Caenorhabditis elegans: one gene and its partners. The protein of the gene in region 4 purifies or fractionates together with the protein of the main gene of each other region. This does not show direct contact. Each region holds a gene or a part of one and is shown on either strand. Other genes may lie near its edges.

Region 1 (7,910 bases), on a different chromosome or scaffold from region 4:
ATTTCAAGAAGCCATTCTTGTCGTCAGTGAGATCATCCACGAGGAATCCACCAGCTGAGGCACAGAAAGCCTTAGCCTGTGGCATCGGAAGAATGTTTTCTACAGTTGCCATAAACTTGATACAGTATTGTCCAATTGGCTCCCAGCCTTCGTCACAAGCCTTTCTGATTTCGTACACGCTTTGACCGGTAAAGTCATCGTAGAAAAGTTCCAAAGCTTCTGCCATAACACCAGCACCAGTATACACTTGGATAGTTGTTCCATAACCAAATGTTTGGATTTGAATTGTTTGAGTGTATGCGTCAACAGGGAAGTATGTAATAAGTCCATCGTCGTGTCTACAATCATCCAATGCGTTGAATGTGACTTGTCCGTTAGAGAACTGAAGTGGAATGAGTCTGACAGCATTAGAAATTTCATTTGCTTGCAGGCTATAAGTAGTTCCGGTAGATCCACTGACAATTCCGAGAAGAGTATAATAGTTTTCGACGGTGGCGTTGCAAACAAATCCTTCCGGTTGTAAACGTGGATTTGAAGTCAAGAAACCGTAAAGAACCAGTTCCATTGTTCTAGACATATCATAGAAAAGACCAAGCGAACGAGTATCAGTATCATCTTCTGGAGTGGTTTGGAAGATTTCTACAAAAGATCCCGGTGCCATTTGTCTGGAGAAAATGGCATAATTCAAAGCATCCCAAAGTTTGACAGTACATCCAGTATCGGCTGGAACTGAAGAAGCAAGAGTGCGAAGAGCAGTGGTGATTGCAGTGAGGTTATCAGCTGGTGATTCAGCAATTGGTCCTCCCCATGTAGAGTTGAAACCGACCAGAACAAAGTTTCTAATCCATCCACGATTTTGCATGAGAACGTCGCGGAGAATTTCTTGGAAGTTGATATTGAGCATGGAAAGTGAAGCAATAGAATTCTGAGTGATTTCAACGGCAAACACCATGTCAACTCCATAACGGATGAATTCAGGATTTGGTCCTGTTTCAATACATCTTGCCATCTCACAGCTCTCACCAGCGTAACCAGGTGGGCAGACGCAATGATCTCCGCTAGCTGTTCCTCCATTGTAACAAATAATGTTCTGACAGTACGTTCCTGTGAACTCCGGAGTACAGAAGCAAGTGGTGTTCGATGGGTTCATTACTCCTCCATTTTGGCATTGATGATCTGGTGGCGGGGTAGGATGAACGGCAGCACAGAACATAGTTCCGGCACGTTGAAGAGCCATGTCATTATTATCACGAGCAAAGAAATTGAAGTAAAGAACTTCTTCTGGAACACGGCAAGTGAATGGTGGGAAGTAGAAGTTGAATTCACAGGCATCTCTGTACATTCCACTTGATCCGTAAACCTCGGTTTGAACTCCGTCACGAATAGCATAAATCTGAAGATTGGCATGCACACGGTCCATTGAGAGGAACTGAGGGTAGTTGGTAACATGGAAAACTGGAGATGAATCAAATCCAAGAACTGGCTGACGTAGAACTCCTGCTGCCGAAGTAAGAGTAGAAGCGAATGACCAGAAAATATCATAGTCGGGGCTGTATTGAGTTTGTCCGCCAAAGTTGAACTTCTTCTGATAAACCTTAAACGTGCAAGCTGCTTCTGGTTCAAGTGATCTGATAGAGAAGAACCATTGACCAGCAACTGGCGAGTTATACGTCCAAACATAGTTCACACCATCAGAAAAGGCGGTGTTGAAAGTTGGATACTGTCCTGTTGGGCTTGTCACAACTAGAGTCAAATTTGTTCCAGTGGCTACAATTGTAACGTAGTCAACGCTAAGATCAAAGGCAGCTGACTTGTACAGATTCTGGCTGGAGCAGTGTGAGTAATCTCCGGAAAGAACAAGTTGGGATCGGAACAAGGTGTTAAGCATGTGTCGGTAGAAGAACTATAAAAGTTAATTGATATGGGAGATATAAAGTGAAGTGACTTACGGTCGAAATAGTGCTTCTGTCGCTGAAATAGAAAGTGTTACCACTTGAACGAGCAGCCATGTCCACCATATCTCTATATGCAGAGTTATCTGGAGATGAGTTACATCCATCGGCTGGAGATGGTTGAACGTAAATGAAGTAGATCTGAAATTTAAATAGAGTCAACATTATTTGCTTTCATGTTATTTACCGGTGCTCTCCAATAAGATTCCAGATGGAACACAGTTTCCTTCTCAGCACTATCATTTGGAGTGGCGTCCGTAATCACATAGATCGGGGATTTGTTTGTTGGATAGAGAGAAAGTGCAGATCTGTAATGAATTAGCATTTTTAAACATTATTACATACCAGTGAACTTACGCAACAGCAGACATGACAACATCATCACATCCTCCTTCGCTTGGAGCGGAATGGATAGCTTTTGTAAGATCGACCATTGCAGCGTCCCATGAATCATATTGTCTGTTCACCAAGAGCTCTGAAATAATACACTTTCATGTCAAATATGTTTTAGATCAAAACTCACTTCCGTTATCAAAAAGAACAACAATGAACTTTGATAGATATCCAGGTTCACTAGCGAGAAGATCAACAATACTTTGAACAGACTCAGTTGCTTGTTCAATAACTGCAGAGAGCTGGCTTCTTGATCGGATGACAAGGGTGAGAGTTGGGTTTTCAGCGTTGAAGTCAAAGCCTGACATGTCGGTACACAAGACTGCAAAGTTATTATGTTTTAACAGATAATTTTTACTAGTGCATACTATTCTGGCAATGGAAGCCACTGAATCCTTCTGGGCATTGACAACGGTCACTGGTTGGAGTCGGCAAGAAACCTTAATAGTTATTATAAAAAATATATAATTTCAAGGATGAATTGTACCTCCGTTAGCACAGAGCATTTGCGAGCAAGTACTTCCAGAGTAAAGTCCAAAGCAATAACAATATGCAACTCCATTAGAGTCAGTAAGCAACTGCCCTCCGTTTTGACAAGAAGTTATCGGTGCTGCAGGTGTTGTCGGGACAGCGGGGGTAGTAGTTGTTACTGGTGGTACTGAAAAGGTACTTTTTCTTAAAAGTCTTATATAAACTTCTTATATACACTACAAAGAAACTCACAGACGCATTGGTAAGGAACAATACGACGGAACTTGTAGCCAGAGTTAGTCACACCCTCCACCTGAAAACAAAAATTTGAATGTTTAGCACCTTTGGTTCAATCGAACTTGAATGAGATTGTGTCCAGCATCGTTATTGCTGGTTTTTCTGCAAGTGTATCTCTCCAAGATGTATGGATAAGTACAGTTGAAACGGGTTGTCATTGGAATGTATCTTGAGATGTGGTTCTCGGCACCGGTAAATCCAATTGCTTGGATTTGACCAGGAAAGTCCAAACCTTGAGCATGAATTGCAACAACCGACTCAGTATCGAAATATGTAAACTTGAGATTTGGATAGTCACTACGCTCGGCTTGATCTCCTGAAGTGAATCCACCGGAAACATGAATGCTACTGCGGGATGACATCATCATTGTACAAAACTGCTCGCTGGTGTCGGCTCGTGGTCCAAGCATATATTGTCCGGGAGGCAGATGCAAATAATTTGCAGTGAACATTGTTGGAAGTTGAATGGATTCGTCTGGGAATATGAGATCTCCATTTTCAGCTTGAAGATAGAATGTTGGGTTCAATGCTGACGCCGTCTCGACTTCAATTTTGATATTCCGCATCGTCTCGTCAACGACGACGATGTATGATTCAGAGCAATTAGCCAGATTGTAAGCATCAATTGCAATGTCATCAAATCCGTCGTTGTTCGGAATGTACGGGTTGCGAGCAGAACAGAGGGCTGAAAAATTTCTGCGTCATGGAACATTTTAGAAATATAAATCTTAAAACTCACGATATTGGCAAGTTTCACCGGTGTACCCTGGCTTGTTGCATCCTCGAGTAGCCATTCCAGCCAAAACGTGTGGTTCAGCAATGGATCTTTTGGAAATATGATGGGTGTCCAACTGAAATTAAAAATTCGAATCGCACCTGTTTGCTAGACCTTACAAAAATAACCCTTTCTTCCATAGTCCTGTACTTTTGCTCTCTGACTGGCTCGAAAAACTGCTTCTGCGATGCCGGACTCCATGATCTCAAAACCGCGCGTATTCTGTCCTTGTGACTGAGCTCCTGCTCAGTCGCCAGGCAGATCACGGCCAGGGCCGCAATCAAAACCCAGTTCCTCATTTCTAAATAAAAAATATTAGTTTTTTTGGAAGCAAACTTGAAGGGGTATTATCAACAGCTTAAAATGAAAAAGAAGCACTGGAGTAATGCGACTAAAAGTACTATCAAGAAAACCTTATAGCAATCAAAGTCGTTAAATAAGAAAATGGGTTGGGCACGCTCGTAACATCGTGGCAACTTCTTATCTTTCAATGCTATGCATAAGGGCATAATAAAATTTTCCCCCGGGCTCTCCTGATTTTTCATGTTCTTGTTAACAATAAAACGCCTTACATTTTTATGAGTCAAAATTCAAAACATAAAATTTGCTCGGACAATAAAAGAACCTCGACATTTAGAATTCACAATCGAATTACCAGAGTTACCAAAAAACAAAAAGTCAATAGAATTGAAAATGATGATACATGAAATAAAGCATAGAAAAAATGGGAAATCTCAAACAGACATGGTTTTCATACGGGTAGGCACGGTTATGCTTGAAGATGGGAAAGAAGACAAAACAACCATGCTGGCAATTGTCAATGGCTAGAGATCCAACTTGCAGACCAGGCTTGGATGCCACCAGTCGCTATGATAAAAATAAAGTAATTTTGAAAAGGGAAACAGTTCAGATATTGTATATCAAAATGAGCTATTCTAGTTTAGTGGCGGATTCGTTTGATGAGCAAGTAAGCGTCTCTTGGGCTAATACGATAGTAGTCCTCGATAATTCCGTCATTGGTGAAGCCATGCTTCTCATAGAATTGCACCGCATTTTTGTTGTTGACCTGGAAAATTACTTTTTTTCAGATCCACTTTTTTCTGGATACCTGCACATGTAAGTACATGGTCTTAATTTCTTCCATCTTATTGCACAATTTTAATGCGTAGTCGATGAGAATTGTACCAATACCGATTCTGAAATAGCACATTTTATTACCTCGTAAAACGCCCTTGGTATAATAATTAACGCTATTAAAACCGTCATTTTCAGGTAGAACTGTACCAAAAAAACGTCATTGATAAGGTAAATTTGATCTGACTCAAAACTCACTGTCGGTAGGCGGCAAGGGTTCCAAGTGTCATGAGATACAACGACTTCTCGTCTGAAATATCGTCAATGCGACAGCACACGGCGCCCACGACGACATCGTTGTAGTAGGCAAGACGTCCAAGTTCTCCGCAATATCGAGCTTCCACATAGAACTTGTCGTTGTAGGCAATTGGGAAGACATCTTCATTGAGCTTTTTCAGTTGCTGAAATTATAGTAAATTGAAAAATCGAGTTTCGAGTTTTATGAAGTTCGTGTATTTTTTGTTGAGGTTTGAAAAACAAATAGGATTTCAGAAATCGCGTTTTACTGATGAAAATGGGAAGGCTAAATTAAATTTAAAAGGTGGAGGTTAAAATCATCTGTTTGGTTCAAGAGTGAGTGAAGACCTTCAGCAAACTTTGAGTGTGCTTCAGCAAACTTTGAGTTCAACTACTTGTCTGACATGCTCGGTAGGCTACAACGTATTTTAACAGCTCATTCTATGCCAATTTACACAATTTTCACAGGTACAGAATACAGGGCAATGTTGAAAGCTTCAAAAATGAACAGCAAAGTCGGCCTAGGTTTGCTTTTTTAGCCATTCACAGAATATATATAAATCGGAACAGAATTTTATTGAGTGGGCTCACATTCACTGCGTGCAAGAGTAATATTCAATTTTTTAAGACGCAAAAATTAAGGCTACATCATATTCACATTGATCGAGAAAATATGGGTTTCATTTAATATTATGAATTCTAGTTCGTTTCATAACATACATTTCCTTCAACAAATTAATAAATTCTCACCAAAATGTTGTGCGGCGTAATTTCTCCCAAATGAACTGTCCCATGACCGGCAATTGTTTTCAGTGCTTTTCCATTCACGTCAAATTTATTAATCAATGGCACCAGTTGATCAACTTGATCCTGCTTCTCTGGCTCAACTGAATCGGAAACTTTTTCGGGTGTGCTCACTGCTTCGGTATTTTCTGCATCGCTTTTTGTTGGGCTATTCTTTTCATCGTTACTCTCGGATGCTCTTTTCTGCTGCTGTTGCTTCTTGGCTCTTTTCTTGGCACTTTTACTCATCGTGTGGTCTGACTCGTTGTTGGTCTGCTGATCGTTCATTTTGCGGTGGCTGAAAAAAAAGTTTTGACGTTTGAAGAATAATATAGAAAAAACTGAAGGAATTGAAGAAGAGACAAGAAATCACTTACATGACACCGAAATAAATAAGAGGCTAGCAGAAACAGAAAGAACAATGAGCATTGGTTAGTAAAACACGGAGGATAACCGCGCGCAAATTGTGTTTATTCAAAACAATCGCCCTCTGTTTAGCGTTGCGGAGCGTCGTTTGTACATACGAAACTAATGTGACTAGCCGGGAAAGAGAGGAGACGAGAAGAGAACACATGTGTTAAGAGGCAGGTGACGACGGCCACCTCGTGGTGGCTTTTGTTTAAAATAAAATCGGAAGTATAAAAAATAGTTTATTAACACAAGAATTCAAAAAAAAATTAACACGAAAACTTAAATCCCTTACAAGTTCAATTAAAATATATATTCATTTATTTATGTTTGATGTTTAATAACGTCATAGAAATTTTTTTATTGCAAGACATATGTATGAGTCAGGTTGATTCGTCTAACAAAAAACGAATCACCTGGAAAGAATGATGGGCGCGGTCGAACACGAAAGATTTCAAATTAAATTTTATTGGTGTTGAACTTCATTAAGGAAGTTTGTCGTGAAAAGTACATATGAAAAAGATAAACTTTTGGATTTTACTTTCAACTTAATAAGTTGGAAAATGTAAAATTATTTGAAATTTTAATTGAAGAAGTTTAAACCATTTTTTCATTGAGTTTCAATGACAAAGTAAGGTGTTTTTCTTTGAATTTTATTATAAGTCTGCAAATAAAAATTTTGAATTATAAAGTCATAATTCAGTAGCTTATACATTTACGAGATAAGAAGATCAATCTTCAAATAGAAAATTGAATGTGCAAAAAGCGTATAAAACCCACAAAGCTCTGCCTCACCTCAATGCACTGCCAACACTCGCTCTCTTCGCACATTGGCAGCTGCTTTTCGAGGTGAAAAGGTAAAAGGGAGAGTGAGAAATTTTTTAAAAAATAGTAATAAGTTTTAACTTCAGATTTTTGTTTTGTTTTAAATTTTAAAATGAGACACGAAAGTTGAAAATGATTTCGAATTTATACGAAAATGGAAAACTACGAACTAGCCCGTTTGTCTGTGTTATCATATTTACCATCACGTCAAAAAAGGCCCATTTTAGATGATAATGGGTTTTGTGGATCGTTTTCGCTGAAACAATTATTTCTGAGTAACGGGTAGCGAAGAATACCGACAAAACTTGAACGATCGTTGAATGTTGACATTGCACGACATACAAATATTTATTACAATTATTTTGAGAACATGAAAAGAAGGTTTACTTAACATTGAATTCAGAGAAAAAATGTAGAAAATAGGAAAATAAAGATCACAAGAAAAAAGCATAAATACCAAATTACAGAGCTCAGTGACCGTGTTCTATGATTTATGTTTCCATATTAATGCTTATCACCAATTACTAAAGAATGAATTTCAGTACCCGCACGAACTCGACAATCGCAGCACGTTGAAGTTGTGATAACTGTGGGAACCCAGCGTCCGTTATCACGACGGAGCACATCAACGTTTC
Region 2 (10,821 bases), on a different chromosome or scaffold from region 4:
AAAAATACAAAACAAAAGACGTTAACCATGAGGCTTTCAAAAATTAAGAACAATTATTTAAGCAGAAAAAAAAGAGACTATTTTGATAAACAGGTATGATCTGTGCTTGACCTGTTTTTATTCGTGACTTTATCTAGGTGAAACCAAAAAAACATTTGGTAGAATGATATAATAGATGGAGTTGGGAAACTGTCTCAGAAAAATTATTAACACGATAACATTTTTCAAAGAAAATTTTTTTTTCAGTATATTATAAAACGTCGGAAAAATAATAGGTTGAAACATTTCAAAAGGCTTGATTTAACTAAATGATATTCCAATTACGAATTAATTTTTTTGTTTAAAAAATAAGAGTTTCAAAAACATTTTCGATAAAAAATGCGCGGAAAATTTTTGCTTTCTAAATCTCAAATTATTTGAAAACTGCAGTAATTTGGAGTGATAAAACGAAAAAGAAGATCATAATGTATTGTAAAGTAAAGTAGTAAACTATTATATTTCTTTAATTTTTAAAAAGTTTATCATTCAAATAATGTACTCTGAACCTGGTCAACGGATGCTACTGCGTGATTTGTAACCTAAAACTTAATTTTTGTTTCCATATCCTGGGAAGTTCGAGAAAAATCGTGTCCTAATGCTGGAAAATTCGTGTCGCTACAAGTTGGCATTCAAGCATTCCCGGAATACTTTACTCCTGATAATGAAACATTGATACAGTGTATCTTGCCACCGCTCATCAATTATCAAAATTACACGTGCAAAAAGTTATCACCGTTTTGAGTGCTGTTTTATAGGTTCGTGGAAAATTGAATAAAACAATTGAAAACGTATCTGAAACTGTGATTCCAACACAAATCACGTGAAAATACAAACTACGAAAATTGGAAACAAGGTGGTGCTTTTATTGTAACTATCATTTGTTACGAAAAAAATACAATTTGTCATCAAAGGGCACCGCACTAAGAAATACGAAACGTACTAAAGAAAGACCAAAAGCACTTTCTATTAGGAATAAAATTGGGAATGTGTTACAATTTATCAACACCTTTTTACAGCACATGAAACAAAATTACAGCACATGAAAACAATAAAGCCACAATCAAAATATAAACACTTAAAAGCATACAATTAGGTGAAACAGTAAAATTTGATTTACTAAAAGGTAGGGCGGTAAAAATATGTTATAGACATAATTTTAAAATATTATTCTGATTAAAAGAAAAAGTTGCAGTGAAATATTGAGTTAGTCGAGAAAAATCTGAAAACGGTTGGCTTTTTGTGAAATTTAAAAAAAAGTTGAACACCTTAGGAGGGATTTTGTTGCAATATTGAGCAAAGCGAGCAAAAAATTTCAAAAATTATTGAGAACGTTCTAACTAGGCAACCGTCAGAAGGTGCCCATCGGACTTGCATATGAGACTTATGCCATTCGATAGTGCATGTCTTAAAACGGTTGCTCGTGAATTTTTAGCGGCAAAACTCCAGAACCAAGCTCACGGCGGGATCTCAAAGATCCTAAAATAGCACTGTAAATAAGAACTTTAACGATCTAACGAAGCAAGTTTTCATATTCACTTTGGCAGCTCATATAGAAAAGCATTAGAAACTGAATAGCAGCAAAACAATAACAACAACAGTTGCCGCACTTCACGCGCTTCTATCTGAAACAAAAAATTTTTGGGAAAAAACTTTCAACTACAAACTTGTTCTTTACAACAATATCAACAACTTATCAGTTGATGACTTTTCTGTAAAAAAATTATCCGCGGAGATATGATCTACCAAAGTGAATTTGGAAAATTGGCCCTCCAATGCTTCGTTAAAGTGCTATTTTAGGATCATTGAGAGCCCGCCGTGAGCTTGGTTCTGGAGTTTTGCAGCTAAAAATTCACGAGTAACCGTTTTAAGACATGGGCTATCGAATGGCGTAGATCTCATATGCAAGTCCAATGGGTACCTTCTGACGGTTCACTAGTAAGAACTTTAAAAGTTTCCCAAAATAATTTCATATTCAAATTTTTTTACAATTTATATAAAAATATGATAGAAAAAAAAAGACAAAAGACACACACACACAAATACATAGAATATGAAAATCACATTTTTTTTCCTTGATTTCAAAAGTTATGTTATTTAAAACTTGCTCCTTGCTGCGTTTGGTTATATTGGCACCATCTTTTTAAAAATACTTATTAGACAGCCCAAGTAAAAGTGCTCCAAAAGGTGTGTTTTGTACATTTGACAAATTTGTGCTTGAAATTTTAATTCAATTATCATTCGACTCAGACATGGTCTTGAAACCCTTACTCTATTTTTATATGAGTGTGTTTAATATAACTTTCTAAAGAGTTCTGAGGTGTATGTTTTCCCAGAGCATAAAGGTGTCAGATATGATATAAAATATCTACGAAGGAGTATCTGAACAGTTAAAAAAATTTCAAATTATAAGGTTTATAGGTTTTTAATTAAAATGACTATTCCAGGACTGAATTTTGATTTATTGATACATATTGGAATTTCTTTGATTTGGTTTTCAAACTGCCATGTTTTATGATCAGTTTCGATAACAACCAGACGAGTGAAATGAGGCAAAAAGTAAATTCAAAAATGAGTAGTGTAGTTTACCGCGGAGTTTTCAGCAGGATATAATTAATGTTGGTGGATATTCAAATGTGTAATATTGCAATTTAAAATGTTGAGTTTAGATTATAAGTCATCTCCGAATCTATTTTTTTTTCTCAAAAAACTACACTCCAAACCGCCAGAATGAAATCCGCTAGTGACTCATTTTCAGGCTTATCTTCGTTCCATTTTTCAATATTTCACAACTAGCGTGATTTTGATAAAAAATAATGCAAACCACAGTAAAGTAAAAATTTTATTTGGTTAACCAAATGACGAATTGACAGTTAGATAGCTGAAACTAGATTACAGCTATAAATCGGATGACTAAGTATTTGGGTTTGCCAACGCTTCACATACACCCAAAATTCCTGCTCCAACTACTTTTTTGAAGCTCATTTTCTTTTTCTCATTGTTTCTCTTGCAGCAGAAATCACTAATTTCGTATCCTGCTTCACAGGTTTCGCCTCCAAGGTTCTGAGACTCCACCCACTTCGTGCTCTTATCAAGAGAGGGCAACTACCGTATAACAAGGACCGATTGGCGACCAAGAACCAATTTTGACTGTTCATTATAAGAGCCTCATTCTATTTAATTTACATCTCGCCAGGTCGCACTTCACTTCTTCTCTCTACTCGAAGAAGCCCTACTGATTTTTTTCTCAAATTTTATTTCTGAGAGCCTTCCTTGCTTTACTGTGTTTTTTAAGGATCTTACTATTCACTAACACATTCAAATTTCAGATGCGCTTGGGCATTTTCCTGCTGGCACTTGCCGGCTGTTGTAGTTTCGCTAGTGCTAAACAAAACTGCTTAGTCGGAAATCTAATTGTATCGGAAAATGTTATTACATCAAAGTCTGTTGAATTGGTACGTCCATCTAATATACATACATTCTATATATTTACTTTAACTGTTTCAGAGAGAATGCGAAGGATTGTGCAGAAAACAAACTGTCAAATCTCCAAGCGGAGGACTTGTTCTCTTGACATGCGAAGAGAACAAGCTTATGGCTTTCATTAACAAAGGACAGGATTGCTCCAGCAGTGAGCTTGAGACATCATGCTTCTGCGAGGATGAGTTGTGTAACAAGGTCGACTTGGAAGAAAATATTCCAAAGCCAATCGAAGTTATTAATGCCCCAAAGTGAGTTTTGTTATCACTGTTATTTTTGACAACTGATAGGAATTGAGGTTTGCATAAGTCTCTGATAGTAACTTTTGATAAACGACTATTTTTGATAACAGCTGCGAAAGAGAAAAACTGATGCAAAATCAGATTAATTTTTTGACCAATTGAAACTTTTTTTAATATTTCGAAATTTTGAATATTAGAGAAACTAAAAACACACGTCGAAATTTCTCCCGTAGATTTGTTTTTAACTTTAGCGATTGGTTTTGAGCAATTTTTTTCCAAATTTTAAAACATTTTCAAGTTTGTACGATTCAAATGTTTAACGTTTATATGAAATCCATCGTTTTTAGATCAAAAATATGTGTAGCCTTAAATTTTTTAAACTCCTTCCGGAAATCGCACTAACTTCTTACTATATAATATTATTTTTTTAGTATGACTTTTCAGCGATATAGTCTAAAATTGAACTTTTTCACTGTACTTTCTTTTACTATACTTTGTCCTAGTTCAATTCCTGACCACAAACTGTTACGTGTGTAAATTTGCCAGTCAACGTCAAACTGATAACAATAATGGAATAATTGGTTTACATTTGGGCGCGCTTCTTATCTGACTGTGCCAATAACGCACGCAACACAACCATAAAACGTGGCTAGTTAGCTCCTCGGCATTGAAATTCGGAAATATTTTAACCAATTGTGTGATAAGAGATTGATAGTACATTTTTACCAATTACCAAAAAACTTCCCTGAAGGAAGATCAAAGAAGATAAGTGAAGATAAATTGAATGTATTAATTGCAGCAACATCCTCTGCTACGTCGGATTCTATGCCAACAACACTACTCCAGGATTCGGATCAGGAGACACCGTCACTTGCTCCCCAGGAAATGTATGTACCAGTGTTTCTGGAGTCTACAACGGATATGACGCTGCTGCCTACGCTTGCATGCCACAAGGACTTTGCGACAGCATCTTCCCAAATATTGACCCAAATAATCCAATCGCCTGCACCAATCTCGCTGGAACCAACATTCAAGGATGCTGCTGTTACAAGCAAGATTGTACTAGCCTCGCTCCAATGAACAACCCACCAACTCCATCTCCATGGAACAAGAACAACCAGACATGCTATCAAGGAATTTCCGTCAACGGAGCTCTCTTGTACGGAGGATCTTTCTCTCAATGCTTGGGAGAATGCGGATCTGCTCGTATTCGTACCACTTACAATGGAGCCAATGTATGGGGAGAGATCTTCGTTTGTGACCCAGTCAACGTCTTCACTGCTTTGAACCTCGACAACGGATGCATGAACCTTGACACCCAAAACATCAATGGAGTCCCAACCGCTCTCATCACCGGCTGTGCCTGCAACAGCATGGACAAATGTATTGACCCAACTGTTGTTCCACCAGTCTACCCAGTCAAGCAGCTCAGATGCGCTGTCGGACTTTACAATGGAACAACCTGGCTCGGAGCTGAAATGAACTGCCAAGGACGATGTGGACGTGTCAGGTTCAATGCCAACGGACAACAAGTTTCATACTTCACTTGCATGCCATACGATGTCTGCGCTGGATTCGGACTTGCTTCCACTGAAGGACAAACCTACAATCCACCACAAGACGAGGAACTTGAGGTGTACTGCTGCTCTGCTAGCAACAACTGCAACGTTAACAATCCATACATTCTCGGACGTGTGAATAACTCTGCTGTGTCTACCGCCAAGTATCCAGTTCTCTGCTACGGAGGAATCTGGGTTAACGGAGTTTCCATCACCAACTCTGCTTACGGACTCTGCCAAGGAGAGTGTGCTTCAGCTAGCTTCACCACCACCTTCGCCAACCAAGTTCACAATGCTACCATCTACACTTGCGATCCAGTCACAATGTGCCAACAAGCCGGAATCTCCAACTCTTGCGGAAGCGTTCTTGGAGGAGTCAATGCTTGCTGTTGCGACAATGATCTTTGCATTGATCCAAACAGAGGATCTCAACGCCCACAACTTCGTTGCTATTCTGGAGTTTCTATTCCACAAGACAAATACAACACTGGAGGAGACCAATTCTGTGATGGATGGTGCGGATCCTTGAACTCTGTTGTCAACGGAAAGAACGCAACTGTCTACTACTGCGCCCCAGTTGGAATGTGCCGCTACTTCGGACTCGGATTCGGAGGATCTTACGGAAACTGTGGACAAATCCCAGGAGCTGACCCACAAGTCACTGGATGCTGCTGCTCAGAAACTGACAACTGTCTTGCCCCAGCTGGAGTCAACGTCACTGCCATCCCAGCTCGTCGTGACCCAAGAATTGTCTGCTACGAAGGAATCCATCTCAACGGACAAAACATCAGCCAGCCTTACTACCGCATGTGCGACGGAGAATGTGTGTCTGTTTCCCTTGGAGGAACCGTCAATAACAACTCTCACTACGCTACTCTCTACACCTGCGATCCAAGCAGTGCCTGTGCCGCGATGGGACTTCGTAACAACTGCTCCACCATTGACAACTCTCTCACTGCTTGCTGCTGTGACTCCAATGAGTGTATTGATCCAACCTACAACCGTGTTCCAGGAAAAGCTCTCAAATGCTACGTCGGTATCAGCACCCAGCACAAGGGAAACATCGCAGGAGCTGAAGTTCTTTGCGACGGATATTGTGCCACCGTTTCCGCTGTTGTCGGATCCGACTATGTCACCGCCTTCCATTGCGCTCCAAGATCTATGTGCCGTTCCCTTGGACTTGACAACTCGAACAACACTTTCTACTTGGACAGATTCGTCAACGCGTACTGCTGTGATGTCTTCGACAACTGCAACGTTGCTACGTCTGGATTCAACGTCACCATTCCACCACTTGCACCAAATGAGATGCCACGCGCTTGCTATTCTGGAATTTTCATTGGAGGAAGCCAAATCTCTGACGGAGGATGGACTGCTTGCAAGGGAGATTGTGTTGCTGTCAACTTGAACACCACATACAACGGAGTTGCTACCACTGCTTCTCTTTACACGTGTGACCCATCTTACATCTGCAGAATGATGAACTCAACAAACAGATGCCACCAACAAGAACAAGGATTCGAGACTTGCTGCTGTGACAGCGATGCTTGCCTCGATCCAACATCCACCCCACCACGTAAACCATATGGAGATGGAAACCTCTGTTACGTCGGAGCTTACTCCTATGATTTGAAGGGAAATACCATCTTCAATGCCGGAGGAGAACAATACTGCGAAGGAAACTGCGCATCTGTTACTTCAACACTTGCCAACGCTAACGTCACTGTTTACGCTTGTGTCCCAGCATACGTCTGTAACAGCTTGTACGTCTATGACAGCTGCCGCACACTCTGGTATGATAGAGATATCACTGGATGTTGTTGTACCAATGGACCTAACTGCAACTTGAATCAAGTTGTTCCAAGACCTCCAATCAACAATCCCGGAAGAAGACGTCCACGTGTTGAATATCCAATCACCTGCCCAGCTGGTCTTATCGTTGACGGATTCAACCAAACTCCAATGGAATTCTCCGTTTGCTTCGGTGAATGTGCCTCTGTCAGCATCAATGCTACGATCAACGGAACTTTGCACACGGCTTCCTTCTACACTTGTGATCCATCGTCTGTCTGCTACCAACTTAAAGTTCATAACAACTGTACTTCCCCAGAAGCTGGAGTAACCGCTTGCTGCTGCGACAGTGATGCTTGCCTCGACCCGAACAGAGGAAAGACCGTTCCAACTCCACCACTCAAGTGCTACGTTGGACTTTACTCTACCAGCGTGCCATCACTTCAAACCGGAGCTGAACAACTCTGCGACGGAAAGTGCGCTTCTGTTAGCGCTCGCATTGCCAATGACAACGTGACCCTCTTCGCTTGTGTTCCACACTCTCTATGCCGTTCCCTCGAGCTCTACGATTCCTGCGCCCGCATGGAGCCATACTACCCAGAATTCCGAGCTTGCTGCTGTGACAATGCTGATAACTGCAACGTTCAACAGACCCATCTTGCCAATGTGATCAACACCACCATCCCACTCACTCCACTCAATGATGCTCCAATATCTTGCTACTCCGGACTTTTCATCAACGGAACCGCTTACAGCTCAGCTGGATGGCAGGTTTGCCAAGGAGAGTGTGTCTCAGTATCAATCACATCTCAATTCAATGGACAAGCCGGAACCGCTGCTCTTTACACCTGCGATCCATCCCGCGTTTGCCGTAATTTGAACATTCTGAACAAGTGCTCCAGTCTTGAGAACGGAATTACCGGATGCTGCTGTAACACCAATGCCTGTATTGATCCAACAGTCTATCCAGCTCGTAACCCAGGAAACCAACTTATGTGCTATGCTGGTATCAGCTCGAACTACATTGTTAATGGAAGCGCAGTTAACGTTGGAGCTCAAATTCCATGTAACGGACAATGCTCATCCCTCTCAGGAGTTGTCGGTGGATTCCAAGTCAACACCTATCACTGCATGCCAAACTCGATCTGTAACTCCCTTGAACTCTACGACAACTGCAAACCAGTTTGGAATGACAACCAAGTCACTGGATGCTGCTGTAACAATGCCAACAACTGTAACATTGCCAATACCACCATCACTCCACCACCACCACCAACTTCAGTCGACTATGCTATTGCTTGCTACACTGGACTTTATGTCAACGGTGTTCCATCTACTCCAGTCATTCTCGGAGCTTGCCAGGGACAATGTGCGTCCATCTCATTGAACACTACACTCAACGGAGTTGCCACCACAGCAACTCTTTACGGATGCGACCCAAGCACTGTTTGCCAATCTCTCAACATGAACAACTGGTGTGCCTCCCCAATCCCAGGAGTCTCCGGATGCTGCTGTAACACTGATCTCTGCCTTGATCCACCAAAGAACAAGACTGTACCATCTGGATTCCGCAAGTGCTTCGCTGGAATCTACGCTCAAGGAAAGGCCACTGGATCTGAAATCTTCTGCCCAGGAAAGTGCGCCTCAATTCAAGCTACCCTCAACCAAGACCCAGTTGCTATCTTCGGATGCGTGCCAACCCAATTCTGCAGACAACTCGAGATGTACGACGAGTGCAAACCACTTCCATATGATACCACAGTTACGGGATGCTGCTGCGACAACTACAACAACTGCAACGTCGATTTGGCTGGATATGGTGGAAAGATCAATACTTCAATGCCAGTTACGAACTTCCGTGATTATCCAATCGCTTGCTTCTCTGGTCTTTACGTCAATAACATGCCAATTTCCATCGCTGGTTGGCAAGCATGTAAGGGAGAATGCGCTTCTGCTACTCTCTCAACCATGTACAATGGAGCTCTCACCAACGCTACAATTTACACTTGCGATCCAGTCAGCACATGCTATCAACTTGGAATGAACAACAATTGTACTACCATTGAGAATGGACTTTCCGGATGCTGCTGTTCTACCGATGCTTGCCTCGACCCAACTGTTTCTCCACCACGTACTCCTAACCCACTCAAGTGCTACGTTGGTCTACAATCTACCTACAATTCGTTGAGCCTCGGAGCTGAGACCTATTGTTCCGGACAATGCGCTTCATTGACTGGAATCGTCGGAGGTTTCAATGTCACTACTTATCACTGTGTTGCTGATACTATCTGCAAATCTCTTGAGATTAAGGATACTTGTCGTCCACTTTGGAGTGACAGAGAAGTCACTGCCTGCTGCTGTAACAACGCGGACAACTGCAACCTCAAGGATCCAAATGTGAAACCAGGACCAGCAGTTCTTCCAGATTTCCCAACTGCTTGCTACCAGGGACTCCTTGTCAACAACCAAACATACGGTGCTCCATTGACTCTTCAAGGATGTTACGGAGACTGTGCATCTATCACCATCTCTACCACCATCCAGAACCAGAATCACACCGCAACTTTGTTGACATGCGACCCAACAACTGTCTGCCAACAGCTCAACATGTCCAACTCCTGCCAAACCGTTGAGCCAGGAGTTTCCGGATGTTGCTGCGACACCGATGGATGCCTCAACCCACTCACCAACACTTACCCAGGACCAGCCAAGTGCTACGTCGGAGTCTACACCAGTGACGGAAATGTCAACGTTGGAGGAACCGTATCATGTGACGGATATTGCGGATCTCTTGAGACAACTGTCAATAATGTTCTTTACAAGTCATATCATTGCGTTCCAAAGACAATTTGCAAGTCCCTTGGATTAAACAACGAGCGTAAGACCATCTCCACAGACAAGGATATCACCGGTTACTGCTGCACAACCGGAACCAACTGCAACGTCAAGGAAGCTGCCGTAAACACCACAAACACTATTCCAGTTGTAAGTTCATTGCTTAAAAATAATCAAAGTTATTCGTATCATACCATTTCAGCCAACTGGAATTCCAATGATTTTGTGCCGTTCTTCCATCTATCTCAATGGAGGACCAGTCACAGCTGACTCTTACAGTGCTTGCGCTGGATCGTGCGCCTCAATTTCTTACACTGCACCATACAATGGTGGAAACCAGACACTCACACTTTACACCTGTGATCCAGTTACTGTCTGTACCTCCTTGAGTAAGTTTTTTTTTTTAATGTATAGCCAATATATTTCATAGCTGGCCATTATTTATTCTTCGAAATTCAAAATTAATCAATTCTAGACTTGACCAACTCGTGTGCTTCTATTGACGGCGGACTCTCCGGATGCTGTTGTAGCACTAATAACTGCGTTGGTCCAAACAATGGCCCAGGAATTGTAACCACACAATCACCAGCCACAACCACAAAGGGCTCATCTTCCATCACCTTCTCAATTCTTGCACTTTTCGCTGCTGTGTATATCGCTCTGACTAGACATTAGGCCAGCTTTAGATAATTTTTCTCATTTCTTTCATGTACATATGTGCTCTTTTCGCGCATAACTTTTTGTTTGTTCTTTTTTTTTAATTTTCTCCTTTTCTTTGAAGATTCTAAATCTTAATTGTTGAGCGATCTTTACAATAAAATTATTTCTCGACACAAAATAATATTCAAAACAAAAGCATTGCCACTCCATTAAAGGTG
Region 3 (7,741 bases), on a different chromosome or scaffold from region 4:
CAATTACGTTATATATACTTCACAACTGAATGGAAAATGAAACCAATATATTTTTATCAAAATTAATTAAAATTCTGAAAGTTCAACAACTTCTGTTATAATGCGATTAGTTCTAGACGTTACACACTTTTTTCTAATATGTATATTATTTGAACGAGTGCAAATGATTTTTTTTCCAATCTAATTCTCAAACACTAACCGAAGTTGTCACATATCGGCGTTCCTACTTTCTCACACTCCTTTTTGTCGCAGCAGGTGCCGTTGTAAAAGAAAAGAAGATCTGTGAAAATAAGTCATTAATCGTAACATAGGGGTCATATCTAAAAAACAAAGAGTACCTTCGTTTGTGCGTTGAACACATCGCAAAAAGCACAAGTTGTTGTAAGTAACGTTGTCGGTCCCGCAAACAGGACGAATCACGCTAGGACAGTCGCAATCCGGTGGTGGCGAGAATCCTGTAAAAAGCAAAATTAGCATTTTCTCTTGCATGTATTTTCACTCATAAACATCATATCTGTCATTCAACACATTACTCTAGCCATTAGCCACCAAAAGGAATAAAAAGAAGACATCCGGATAAAGATGTTCACACTTGTCTCATCTTTGACTTCTTCTTCATATCTATCACACGTTTTTCTGTGCTAGACCTGTTGAACAGAAAAATAACCTTCAAAAAGAATATCAGAAAGTGGTAAGAACACACAAGTAGGTAAATGGATGTAGGAAACGAGGAAGGAAGTAAGACTTTTGTAAGGAAAAAGATAAATGAACTAACTAAGATAATTTTTAAAAAATTTTTATTCGTGGCCAATTGTTAATTATGTATACCTTTTTGATTCTCTTCTTCTTCACACCTGCTATCAATAACAATTATTAGGAGAAATAAGATAGAAAGAAACACGTTTCTACGGATAAGCATGCTGGTTGGCGGTGTTCCACATGAAGACGATTGAGGGAGATGATCAGTGATTAAGAACCCAATGGGATAAATCACAAAAACAGATGTGTGAAACCGTATGGAAGTACTTCTTAAGACACGGAAGGATTCCGTAGACTTTGCAAACAAGGGGTAACGTCAAATGCGGGCGCCGTCACTGGAGGCCGTCAACTTGCGAAAAGGCAAGTTCTCTTTACTCATCGTCAGTAACTCCTCCCATCATTTTTTTTTGGTCTTACGTCGAGAAAATGAGAGGTTGACGGGTGCGTAAAAGGGAAAGGATAGCAACGAGCTTTAATTGAAAGATCGAACAGCTGATTCGATGGGATTACACTAGCTACGGAAATTTTGAAAAGTGACACTTAAGATGATAATTTGTTAGTTGAACTTGCTACAGATCCATATCAGCTTCCGTTGCGGTGTAAGTGTGATAACGATGCGAATTTAATGAAACAACTTGATGCCCATTGTAAATGTGTAAAAATATTATGTGTGGTCTCAACAAGCTTTGCAAAGTTGTTCAGAAAATCAAAAACTGATAATCACTATGATATCAGCATTGCTATGCTTTATTGGAAGCATAGGTACTTTTGGGCTCAACTAAGGTGAAGTAGCGTCAGTAGAGAAGTTATCGAAGCTTACTACAATGGTGTTAAAATTAGAAAATATTATAGTAAAAGTTCTCAAAAGCGTTTAAAACATTGTTTTTTTGTAGTCGAAAAGCGACGCAAACACGTTTTTGACTGAAAATATTTTAAAAATGTGGAAAAAACAATTGGAAATGATTTTGTTCACATTTCTAAACCATTTATGTTTAAACACTGTGGGGGACTGTGCTTTTCTTTTTACAAAGGTTGGTACAAACTCATTCTTTGTCGTTTTTGTCTGTTAATATAAACATTTCAAAATGATTTGACCAGTTTTAGTACGATATTCGATACTTTCGGCTCTACAGGAGTAGTTTTAGCCAAAAATCCAATTTTTCAATCATTTGTTATGCTTGTTACGCTATTACCGTATTTCCTCTATTAGTCTTGCACCCCTATGTGACGATTGAAAATTATTTTCGCATGCAAGACTAATAGAGGAAATACGGTATGTTATTCAAGAGTTCAAAACTATTTTAATCGGAAGATTAGTTTAAAGAAACGAGCAACTGTATTCAGTACAGTTTAAGTGCAATCTTCAAAACAGTTCATTAACGTTCAGTTAAGTTAAGTTCATTGAGTTCCGGAACATAATCCTCGTTATCATAGTAAGATTTAAATTTTCTTTTACTCATCTCAATAGTTTCACAGACGACACTCACTTGACCTGATGAAATCACTATTACTGATTCAGAAATAATTGAAAAATTGCATTTGCAGATATTTAGTGCCAGCAGTAATGTAATCATTTTCGAACATGGGTGTGTTCATATGTAGTTGAAGGTACACAAATTATATCTTATAAACAAAGATATTTGATTCTTTCCATGGTGCGGTTGATGTTAGTCGGCCTGAGCGGAAAATATTTAGTTTTAGCCAAATAATTTTTAAATATTTTTAGACAATGTTTCTAATAAGCATTTTTTTACAAAATTGTTTCAAAACATTGCTACAAAATTTGACTTGAGTTCCATTTTGGGTGTGTACTCCTTACGTAAATTAATTTGTTGGCAATTTTAAATTGATAGGTCTGATAAGAAATTGAATCATATCAGGAAACTACATATTTCCAACGAGTCGGTATGCGATCAAAAGCGAACTATCATAATTGCACAAACATATCGAGGAACACTGTGATTATGCAAATTTTAGTATAAAACACAAAGAAATATAAAACAATCTTTTTCATAACATTCTTTCTCTGCCCTACACTATTTAATACTTTCTACAAAATTTTTGAAATTTATAAAAAAACAACTACAATCTGTTCAAAAGTCAATTAAAATGCTACGATCTCAAAAAATCATCTAAGTATGCACGAAGAGCGTTTAGAATTATTACAACCAAGTTTATATATTAACCGAATTAGTACAACATATTAACCACATAGCATTCGTTTTGATACATATCCATGACAAATCTGCATTTCAGGGTTTCCGAGATCGATCTGATTACTTGAAAACTGAACCGTTTTTAAAATCACAAGCAACAAGTAAACATTCCCAACAATGATAATAGTCTAATTCAAAGTAAAACGTAAAGCCAGTAGACCGAACTACACTGTTGTTATTTCCAAACAGACTTAATGTTTTAAGCCAAATATTTTCATTCATTTCATTGTTGTAAATGTTGCTTTGAGCAATAATATCTAAAGGTGAAGTAAATTCCCACGTTTACTTTTGCTCATAATCTTTATTCATTCGAATAATATTCAGAATTATCAAAAAACCATCGTTATACACGCCTGTCGTCGTGGTGCCATGTGCAATCACTTGATAACCATATTAGTTCTTGAAGGCAAAAATGTGGCAGTCGGCAAAACGTCGGGGCAAATAGCAAAATTGGCTTATCAAACAATAAAAAATTTTCACGGTCTTACATATGCGATAGGGCAAGACAAGCCCTTCCAGTTTCAGTCCGCTGCTGCTCGAGTCGCCACTGCACACGATGCGGCTCCTACTGGCTTTATTTTTATTAGTAACAGCAGTTGCAGCTGCTCCAAATCTTGGTAACTCAAACTAAATCTATTTTACAAAAACAACTTTTTTTTTCAGATTCCGTATTTCATCACCTACCAAATTATTATCCCGAACTAACAAATACTGATGCTTTCCATATTCGAGCAAAACGTGCGATTTTTGCCGTTCTTGGAATTGCCAACCAATGCGAAAATGGATGGACTGGTGATGGATGCAAAAACCCAATCTGTACTGATCCAAAACCTGCACCAACATCTGGACAGACTTCCAGTATTGAGATTATGTTTATCCAAGGAAGCTGTGGTGGACCGTAAGCATGAGTTTTAATTTAGTTGCTTCAAAACGATTTTCTTTTTTCAAGATTTTACATCCCTGTCGATTCAACAGGCAACAAGCCTACCCAAACCATTCAAATCCATGTTTCGGCTGCTGGAATTCCATATGTGAATATGACCGATGCAAAGGGAGTTGTATTTTCTCCATCTTACTCCGTAGCCGACGATAGCTATTCTCTGAATGTCTACGCCGATCTTCCATCTGGTGGATATACCTTGTCCATTGATAACCAGGGTGTTCCAACAAGCGAATGCATCATTGAAGTTAATGTAAGTGAGATTTTGTAGTCTGCCTTCTAGTTACATTTCGCACATTTTCATTCAAAATGTTCAACATTTGCCATCGTAACAAGATGAAAAACTGATAACCATGAGTTGCCTCCCTACATTTTTACGAGTTCGGCATATCAAAATGGGCGCGCTAAAAATGAATTAAAACGTGGAATTGGAAATAAAATGGCGCGTTATAAAAATACTGTATACCATGTCGTTATTAAAGATCAAATCAATGAATAATATAGTGAATTCATCAAAAGAACCTTACCTAAAGTTACATAATTTCTGAAATTCTTAAAACCTGGAATTGTCTACTAAAATTAAGAACAAATTATATTTAAAACAACGATGTTCCATACTGCCCAAATGAATTGTATATGTCATACATACTAACTTATATTTTGCTTCAAGTGCACCGGGAAGTTTTCAAAAGTTCAGACATTGATAAGGAATGTCATTATTCAGATTATTTTATGAAATGTAGTTTTCCTAGCAAAAAAAAACGTTTTTATAAAAATAAAATAAAACAAAGGTTTTTTATCTCTGATTAACCATCTTTGATTAACCAACAACCAATTTTTAATTTTGCAATTATAAATTTTGTGCCAGCAGCCATTTATTTATAAAAACTGCGAGAGTTCCAACATATAAAGCATTATATAAAGCATATTTAATTTATAGTTTTCAATTTTAAGTAATTTCCATATAAATTTCAATACAAAAGCACATGAAGTCAGTTTTAGGGTGACCCCAGCGGATTGAAAGCTGTGGATGGATTTGTGTATTCTCCACAGTCAGACGACCCTCCATATGGTGAATCTGCAATCAACGGTGTTCCGATGTATATGGCCGCTCACGTTGACAATTCACCAGCTCGTTAGTTTCGTTTTTTAAATATAAAACAAAATCTTTATATTGCAGAAGTTCAATCTATCACCATTCGCCAAGGCAATTCTTTGGCTCCAGTCTACAGAGCAGCTCTCACAAGAAGGTAGGGAACTGTATTTGTGGAAATAATTAGCATTTAGACTTGATTTATCTCCTGAAAACATTAACACCCCTATAAAAGCAAATCACTTTCCCCATTCATTTTTTCAGGTATCAGTGCGGGTATGAATACTATGCAGGACAGTGGCAATGTCAACTTGGAAATGCCTACTTCTATCATGTACTACGAAGTTCAAATTAAAATGTTTAATGTTTTCTTTCAGATTGATGGAGTTGACGCCAACGGATTTAACTTCAGAAGAACCGGAAGATTCTCATGCATGCGTAAGTCAACAACGCTTTTGTTATTTGAATGATTAGTTTTCTATAAGCTGAAAGTGTCATGAGTTTATTGAGCTCAGGCGTTCAAGAATTATTAGTTTCATAACTGTTAACTACAAATTGCAATCAGTCTTTTTTCAGAACTTCTCACATCACCAGCTCCTCCAACAACGACCCAAGCTCCGGTGACAACTTGTTTCAACAATGGAACACTCCTCAATGTTGCTAACCAAGGCCAAACATGCTTCTGCTCTGAGCTGTTTAATGGAAAACAATGTGAAAAAGTTAACTGTATGAACGCCGGATTCCCAGATCCAGACGGTAATCTATGCGAATGTGCTGCTGGATACCATGGAACAAACTGTCAAGATGGTATGTTAAGTTTCAGTTATATTTATATATTAAATATATCTTTCAAGTTACCTGTCCACTGAACTGGGAACAATATCTTACCAACTACAAGACATTGGTTGTTATCATTCGAAGCACCGTTTCGATGAATCAAAACCTAAATGCGATCTCCAGTGCTATCTACAAAGAACTAACAAGTAACGACGGCAACAACTACGAAGTATACAAAGGATTTGTCATTGTTAAATTTGCAAACGGTGCTTACACCAACACCTACTACCCAGCATTTGACCAAAATGCTTTCCTGGCTGCCATCAATCAAGCTTCAACTGCTGTTGGACAATGTTCGGATGCTACTTTTGATGCGATCGGCTCTATTTTTAACGAAGTCGCTCTCTATCAAAAATCTCCAGTCTATTTGTTCACTGACGCAACTGCTAGTGATGTCGAGAAATGGCAAACCGTCATTGAGCAAAACACTCGCATGAAGTTCCCGGTACTACATAACTGATGTTAACATAAGTAGAAGTTGCAATTTCAGATATACACTCACTACTTTGTTCAATCTAATTGTGCATTTGATGAAATGAGCCAAGGTTTCCAAGCCATCGAATACGCTTCTTACTACAGTGGAGGACTTATCCTGAGACCATCTGTTGACTCTTTGCAACAAGTTAGTTTACAATTTATCCTACAACACCATATTTTGCTTGTTCAGATTTTCCAATACGTGATCAAAGCAACAGCCTACAAAATGAACTCGGTACTTATTGACGATCTTGCTAGCTGCGCCACTCCAACGAGAGTTTTCTTCGTTGACACTTCAACCACTGAGCTCATGATTCTCGCTGTCGGACAACAGTTAACAGTTTCTGTCACAGATCCAAATGGAAATACCAATACTCTTCTGAAGATTGTCGACAGTGGAACTACTCAACTGTATGAGATTTCAAACCCCGTTGTTGGTGAGCACTTGGTCACAGTTGTGTCAAATGTGGTAAGTACTATTGAAATGAATAATTCAGTTTTTTTGCTCACTACATAGCTTAACTGAAAGAATTGAAATGTTTTTGTTTGCAGCAAAATACTCCGTGCTCGTACCGTGTTCAAGCCCGCTCAGAATATGATCTTTTCATTGGAACTAGCGTCGGAGTCAATGATGATGCTAGTGACTCGGAACCAGTCGTCGGACAATCTTCTCACATTGTTGCTCAACTAACAGGACTTAAGGGCAAAGTAGCCGATCCATTCCGTCTTTTCTCTGAAATTTCCATTACATCTAATGTAAATGTGGACAACAAATACCAAAAACCAATGTACTACTCCAGTGGAAAATACAGAGACGGATGTGGTTTCCATATGTATTTTGGAGCTGCCGACTTCTGTGATTTCATGTCTCAACCATTCTATGCTACTGTCTATGCTGACGATGGAAAGGGATTCACCATCCAAAGAACTACCACTGGTTTCTGCTCTGGAAGTAAGCCTTCAAAAATTGTATTTATCACTTTTTTGGCGCAATAGCTAACTTTTTTGTCGGAAACTGAGTAAGAAACGTGTACATATTTCAGCGCCAACGACACCGTATCCACCAAACTCTTGTCAGAACGGCGGAGTGACCGATCCAACAAATAACGCTACTTGCATCTGTCCACCAGGTTTTTACGGACAATAGTAAGTGAAAATAACATAAACTTGATTGACGTTCATATATCAATTTAGTTGCACAAATATTCAATGCGTAAACGGAGGTACACCAAGAGGAGGAATGTGTGTTTGCCCAGTCGGAACTGCTGGAACTTTCTGCGAACAATGTATGAACTGTGTAAATTTGAATTAAAATAGGGATCTTATATATTTCAGACATGTGCACCACTTTCAACAACAATCCTGACGTTTCATTCGATGGACAATCCATTGCCTTTGTTGTTTCTACTAGATCAACTA
Region 4 (6,095 bases):
AGTGTTTTCTCTGTTTTTCTGGTTTTTGAGACAATTTCAACAGATTTTCGTTCAAAAAAAAAAACGGTACTTGTGTATTATTTCCCCTCATTTTAATATTATCCATTTTAATAAAACGTGATGTCCATTTTCCCTCATTAGGCTCAGAAATGATTATTTCCTAAGCCTAAAAATACAAAAACTCCCCACGTTTTTATTTAAAATTATATTTTTTCAAAAATGAGGGGAAATATACACAAGTACCAAAAAAAAACTCACACTAAGCTCATCATCGTCAATCGTAAATTCGTACGTCATTTTTTTCGACGTGGCAGCAGCAGTTGCGGTGGCGGCAGCCATTTCTGGCGATTTCTGAACAAGAAACGATGAGGGAAAGATGTCGTAAATTGGTAGAATCTCATAAAATCCGAAATTAGAGCGATTACAAGAGCGAGATAAAAAACATAAACGACGAGGCGAAAAAAGACAATGAAATTCAATAGAAAACCGGGAGAAATAGCGTGGGAGAGGCCGGAGACGCAGAGAAAATGTGGAGGAAAAGTGCGCGAAATAATCCGGCTGCTGCTGCTGTTTTGCCCCGGTTTCCTCCTCTATTGATTGAGAAATGTGCGAGAGAGTGTGGAATGCCGGAGAGACGCAGACTGTTCGATGGAGCGCAGCATGGCTAATCAAGTGGTGAGGGACGAGAGTCATGGGAAATTGGAAAAAAAAAGACAATTTTTTTTTGTTTTGTGCATTTTACAATAGAAATATGGGCCTTTGGGAGTTTATGACTGAAAAAATTGAAAAAAAGAACGATTTATTTCTATCTTTGCGACAAACTGCGGAAAAATTGGATTTTAAAAAATAATTTAAAAATTAAATATTTCCAAATTTGAATTTTGCTCATTTTTCATGTTAAATATTGCAAATTGCATGCTTTTATTCATTTTCTAGCCGCACAAAAATTCAGAGAACTCACACAATGCTCCTCTTCGTCAGTTGTAAATTTGAATAATCGTTTTTTCGACGTTGCAGTCATTTTGGAAAGTTTTTGCGAAGAAAATAAAATTAAATCTAACTTTCATTGCAAAAAAACAATTAGAGTTACGTGGAAAGTTGATTTTTTACTATTTCTCGTGAAAAAAAGTGTAACGAGTGGATTTTTCGTAATTTCTTGCAATTTTTCAATTAGAATTTAAATTTTCGAATAATTGTTTTGAAAAACTTAATGGAAAACAGGCATTTTGGCTGGAAAATAGACAAAAACGAAGAGAAAATGAAAAAAAATAATTCAAATAAATTTTGTGCGTCAAATAAGGTGCCCGGTCCGCAGCCACAGTGTTTGCACCGAACAGGAACTACAGTACCCTAAAATAGTATTTTCCTCGATTTCAGTTTTTGAAACTTGCTTTAAATGAACGAGTGGATATAAAATAGAAAATAAAGCTTTATTAAAAGAAAATAAGTGAAAATCTGATTAAGAATTTTCAAAAAAAAATCTTTTCCGAAGAATAAATCGAATTCCTTCACTATTTTTTCGAGATAAGAAGTTTTAAGAGAAAATGCCCTTTGGAACTAAGTAATGATTAAAAAGTATTAGGGGACGCTAAGCACGCTAAAACTGATGCTTCATAATAATAAACTATGAATTATCAACTTTATAGCGGTGACCTCTACCATTACTGCCGAAATTGCGCGTAAAATATGGCGCTTCGACTCAGTGTCTGCGAATCCATTTTTCGGAATTTAGAAAATAGAAATATTCAAAACCAAGGTTTATTGATATGAAATTTGCACAAAAATTCAAAATGTATCATAAAGAAAGAGTATTTTAAACCAAAAATTAAATAAATTAGTGAGAAACATGGGCGGAATGAACATGAACTCCTCCCTCGATCTCAATGAGATGGACTCCGTGGGATGGAGTACGCTCGACAAAGTCAGCGAAGTGGGCTCCGTTGACGAAGATCTGAAAAATATAATAGTTTAAAGATTAAGTTTCAGTAGGTGAACAGGGCTCGAAATCCAATGCTCATCAGAGATGGGAGTACGAAAAATCAAACTTTTCCACGTGGTGTCGAAGTGTCCCATTTTGGTGTGATCTTCAAAAAATGCGGCCGAAGAGGCGCTGACTTCTCAACTGATTTCGCATGATTAAGAGTGTGCTGATGTCACGAAAAATTCCCTCATTTTTTGTAGATCAAACCGCAACGAGACAGTCTGGCACCACGTGCTTTGCACGAACACAGTCCGCCTTAACATTCTTAAGCCCAGAATCCAACTAACCGAGATAATTCCACCGTTGGACACAAACTCCAGAGTGTAGATCTTGTTCTGCTGGAATGGATTGGCGTGACGATCCTCGGATTGCCAACCTCCTCCGCTGGTCGAGTTGTTCACAACAGCTCCCTCATCGAATCTAGCGTTGAAGTGAAGAACAATGTCGTCTGGAGTGCGAAGATTGATGTGGAAACGAGAATCGGCGGATGTTGGGAGAAGAACGAGACGGAGGCGAGCACCGTTGGAGAATCCTTGCACTGGGATGTTCACTGGGGTTTGTGGGTTGAAGAATTCGTTGCGGAAGCTGATTCCGATTCCTCCTCCGATCATGGTTGATTCTGAAATCAACTGTGTGAGTTGGGAAGGGAAACATGTTAGGAGCAATACTAAGACCACTATTCGTATAAAATGTACATCTATGAGAATTGTAAGCTGATTCTTTGGCTCTAAATCGCATGTTTTATCACTAGGTGATGTAAAATGTCTAAAGATCGAAAAGCCGAGTAGTTTGAAAGTTGATAAGAGCGTATGAAAAACCCTCGGCAAAGTAAACAATTCTCGGTGTCTACTGGGGGAAAATGTTCAACGAAAAAAAAATAGAAATTGGGCAATAAATGTAAACAATCCTCATCTATTTATACATCACAGAATGGGCGGATTCTTGCCTATGAGTCATCAAATACGATTCTAGAGAATTCCTTACTACATGAATCATGGAAAAAAAGGCTTGAGTACATTGTACACCTGCCATCGTCTCTTATAAGCAGTGTTTCTTATCAACTTATTGATGAGTTGGCATATGCTCCGCCTCGAACTATTTCGATGATAAGTTGCTTGTTTACTGAACTGAAAAAGGCTTTTCGATGAAAAATTCAGCCCGGCATAAAGAATGTCACGAGTTAGTTTGGAAATTAAGATGTGTGCTGATAAACGTCAAGAGAGGAAGTAGTGATAAAATTCTAGAGTTTTAACAAATTTGCAAAATCTCTGAATTGTTTTATTTTAGGAGTTTTTCAACCTAAATTCGTATTTTAGTTATTTAATTGTTCCTCGTTCCACACGTCACCATTTACAACCCTTATTATCGAAGTGCCAAGTTACAGGGAGAACTTGGTACATACCAGCTCACCAAGAAAAACCGATCAATAATGTAATAAAACCCGCTGACATTGAAGACAGAAGATACCGCAATTTTCTTTAATAGCTTGGGTTTTTATTAGCGCTAAACAATATATAACGTGGCAGTTTTTTTAATGCTGACTTATAAATAGTACTTTTCCTTTCAATGAATCTTCAGAGAATTTCAATGTGGCATTTTCTTAAAATCTTCCTCCGTTAAGCCATATTGCAATTGTATGTGGTAAACTTTCCAATACTATAAAAATTGAACTTTTAAAAACTTCTGAAACTTGAGTTTACAGTAACTTAAAGCTTAAAGGTGGAGTACCGAAATCTGAGACTTTGCTTTTTAGGCTCAAAACTACCGCATATCGTAATGAGACATCTTGAAAATTTCTCAACACGTTATGGCAGTTCAAAAATCTGGAAAAAGGTCCACTTTCAGCTAAAATCAAATTGTTTCCAACTTCTCGGTGTCGCTGCGTCTGGAAGTTAATTTGTATTTAATTACCACTTTCTAATAAATAATGTGATCGTTTAATGCGCATTTATTCGTTGGTTTAAGTACATTTTCGGCCAGTGGGGCACAAATAAAAGCTATGTTTTTGTGCCCCAATGACCGAAAATGCACTTTAATCAAACAATAAACTCCTAATAAAAAACCACAATATTTATCAAAGAATGAAAATTTTATTTTAGCTGAAAATGGGTCTGTTTTTCCAGAACTTTGAACCGCCATAATTTTTTTTTGCGAAGTTTTGAAAACGTCTCATTACGAAATTCGGTAGTTTTGGGCTATTTTGGGTCTAAAAACAAAGTCTCTGATTTCGGTACTCCACCTTTAAGATTTTCAAGTATACCCAGGAGCCACGTGTCCGTAAAAGTTCAATGATGGCATTTCCGGCTAGTAGTGATGTAATTTAGTCATGAAGCTGATTTTTTCTCCTCAATAATTTTGATGATTAATTATTGATAAGGAAAATGTCAAACAATTTGACGATTACCAGAAAGTTATTTTTCTACAATTCATGAATATCGGTTAAATTTGAGTAATCATTTTCTTCGTATGGAGCATGGGAAATTATTTAGACCTTTGCAAATTCAATTTTTTTTAAAAGCATTGTTAATTACCATCGTATTCCAATTTGATTCTAGACTACTATCAAACTTATTGAAGTGGTAATAATTTTTTCCAAGAATTTTGAACAACGTTTCTACTAGGGGTGTGCGTCAAATTTACCAAATTTGCCATTTGCCGATCTTGGTAATCGTTAGAATTTGCCGCACACAACAAAAATTGGACAATACAATTTTGACCAAAACTATTGATTTTGTTCCAAAAAAACTAGTAATATAACATAAAATTTAGATTTTTCCGAGTTTGTTAAGCAAGGCAAATTTTGAGATTTGCCGCACACCCCTGGGTTCTACTGGGTAAAAATGTAAATTCATTTATAAAACTAATACTATGGCTGAAAATTTTCTGAGTAATTATTCATAAGGACAATGTCAAAAACTTTTTCTAATACTTTTATTTTCATAAAAAGAAACACAAATCGGTTAAAATTGAGTAATCCAAGTCTTTTTGGCCTTCTTCTTCATTTGAATTTCATAATTTGTGATGTACACATGGAAGTTGGAATTTTCATCAGAACTTTCCAGAACGATCGGAGCCTCCACCATTGGATCCAAATAGTTTTCATCAAAAACTTTGGCAACTTCGAGAGGATTTGGAATATCAACATGGAAGCTACCTCTTTGCAATTTCGGGAAGGTGGATATGGTCTGGAAAATGACTACGCTGATGTGAGAGCGTATCACTGTGAAACTTACATTTTTAATCCGAGTAACATCCTGTTTATCGATAGAAACATTTCTCGAGTAAACTAAAATAGTTTGCAGCTTTTCCGCCGAAACCCTTTTCAAAACACTCCCCGTTTGGCCGATGGTGAATCCAGTGAGCCGAACTGTCTTCACATTGACCTCATACACTATTTCCAAATTGAAAACCTTCTCCATCGCATCAAAGAACAATTCCTTTTGCTCATCCTGAATCAACTCTGGAAGATCAATTCTGAGCAGATCGAGTTCAAGCTTCGGGGTTTTCAGCAAAACTGCCACGTTAGCAAGAGTGGCATTCAAATTGCACCCTGGTGGTGTGGTTGCTTCTCCACTTTCCGAATCCTTGCCTAGTTCCTGATCGAATTTCGAGAACTTAGTGCTACATGAGTCAGGTTTCACATTTAGCGAGTCCATGTCAATTATCCACTGATCACCGCGCTGATGAATTCTGATCTCCTTAATCCGCGTTTTGTCGTCACCGGTAGGATCAGAGGTAGAGCTGAAACGAATATTTTTTAGTTGTAGGAGTATTTAAGAATTTTAAAAAATACCAATAGGCAGTAGGGCTCAAATTTCTTGCTCACTTGTTTGTTACGGAGATGTGGTGGAAGGTACTTTGGAGCACTCCCTTCAGTTTTTTTAATTCCAATTTTTGGACCTTTTGCTGAAAAATTACCATTTTTGTTGATAACACCACTTAAATCACACCAACCTTCCCAATAACACTCATGTTTCTTGATCTCCGGCTCTGGCTGCGAACTCGCCGTGGCACCTTCGTCTCGACATCTCCAATTGGTGTCCAGTTCCGCGTTTGACTGCTTTTCCACGGGCATGACAGATTTGTATTATATGGAAATTCCGAAATGATAAAA

The links.
Region 1: the proteins of lec-6 (region 4) and irg-7 purify together in Caenorhabditis elegans (affinity purification with mass spectrometry, with the first as the bait; one study listed by BioGRID). This does not show direct contact.
Region 2: the proteins of lec-6 (region 4) and bcf-1 purify together in Caenorhabditis elegans (affinity purification with mass spectrometry, with the first as the bait; one large-scale study listed by BioGRID). This does not show direct contact.
Region 3: the proteins of lec-6 (region 4) and hrg-11.3 purify together in Caenorhabditis elegans (affinity purification with mass spectrometry, with the first as the bait; one study listed by BioGRID). This does not show direct contact.

The regions. Positions count from the first base shown.
Region 1 is NC_003284.9:3,239,438-3,247,347, forward strand, and holds the start of irg-7 (Protein irg-7), read right to left. Parts: upstream 4,200-7,910; 5' UTR 4,188-4,199; coding exon 4,008-4,187; intron 3,965-4,007; coding exon 3,853-3,964; intron 3,799-3,852; coding exon 3,176-3,798; intron 3,130-3,175; coding exon 3,069-3,129; intron 3,004-3,068; coding exon 2,833-3,003; intron 2,786-2,832; coding exon 2,714-2,785; intron 2,668-2,713; coding exon 2,476-2,667; intron 2,428-2,475; coding exon 2,310-2,427; intron 2,261-2,309; coding exon 2,140-2,260; intron 2,094-2,139; coding exon 1,950-2,093; intron 1,904-1,949; coding exon 1-1,903. Other genes in the region: F40F4.7 (N-terminal methionine N(alpha)-acetyltransferase NatE), read right to left, coding at 4,829-4,954, 4,997-5,084, 5,221-5,423, 6,010-6,330; pqn-37 (Prion-like-(Q/N-rich)-domain-bearing protein), read right to left, coding at 7,780-7,910.
Region 2 is NC_003283.11:6,401,328-6,412,148, reverse strand, and holds bcf-1 (bacterial colonization factor), read left to right. Parts: upstream 1-3,365; coding exon 3,366-3,491; intron 3,492-3,543; coding exon 3,544-3,767; intron 3,768-4,557; coding exon 4,558-10,093; intron 10,094-10,145; coding exon 10,146-10,332; intron 10,333-10,418; coding exon 10,419-10,618; 3' UTR 10,619-10,770; downstream 10,771-10,821.
Region 3 is NC_003284.9:11,495,640-11,503,380, reverse strand, and holds the start of hrg-11.3 (C-type LECtin), read left to right. Parts: upstream 1-3,381; 5' UTR 3,382-3,531; coding exon 3,532-3,592; intron 3,593-3,638; coding exon 3,639-3,873; intron 3,874-3,924; coding exon 3,925-4,168; intron 4,169-4,917; coding exon 4,918-5,050; intron 5,051-5,095; coding exon 5,096-5,165; intron 5,166-5,272; coding exon 5,273-5,342; intron 5,343-5,385; coding exon 5,386-5,446; intron 5,447-5,584; coding exon 5,585-5,815; intron 5,816-5,862; coding exon 5,863-6,290; intron 6,291-6,335; coding exon 6,336-6,467; intron 6,468-6,512; coding exon 6,513-6,791; intron 6,792-6,874; coding exon 6,875-7,274; intron 7,275-7,365; coding exon 7,366-7,468; intron 7,469-7,516; coding exon 7,517-7,608; intron 7,609-7,657; coding exon 7,658-7,741. Other genes in the region: F29G6.1 (Kazal-like domain-containing protein), read right to left, coding at 200-280, 339-455, 829-919.
Region 4 is NC_003281.10:597,767-603,861, forward strand, and holds lec-6 (Galectin), read right to left. Parts: upstream 2,601-6,095; 5' UTR 2,593-2,600; coding exon 2,269-2,592; intron 1,952-2,268; coding exon 1,835-1,951; 3' UTR 1,744-1,834; downstream 1-1,743. Other genes in the region: Y55B1AR.2 (Flocculation protein FLO11), read right to left, coding at 259-351, 962-1,021.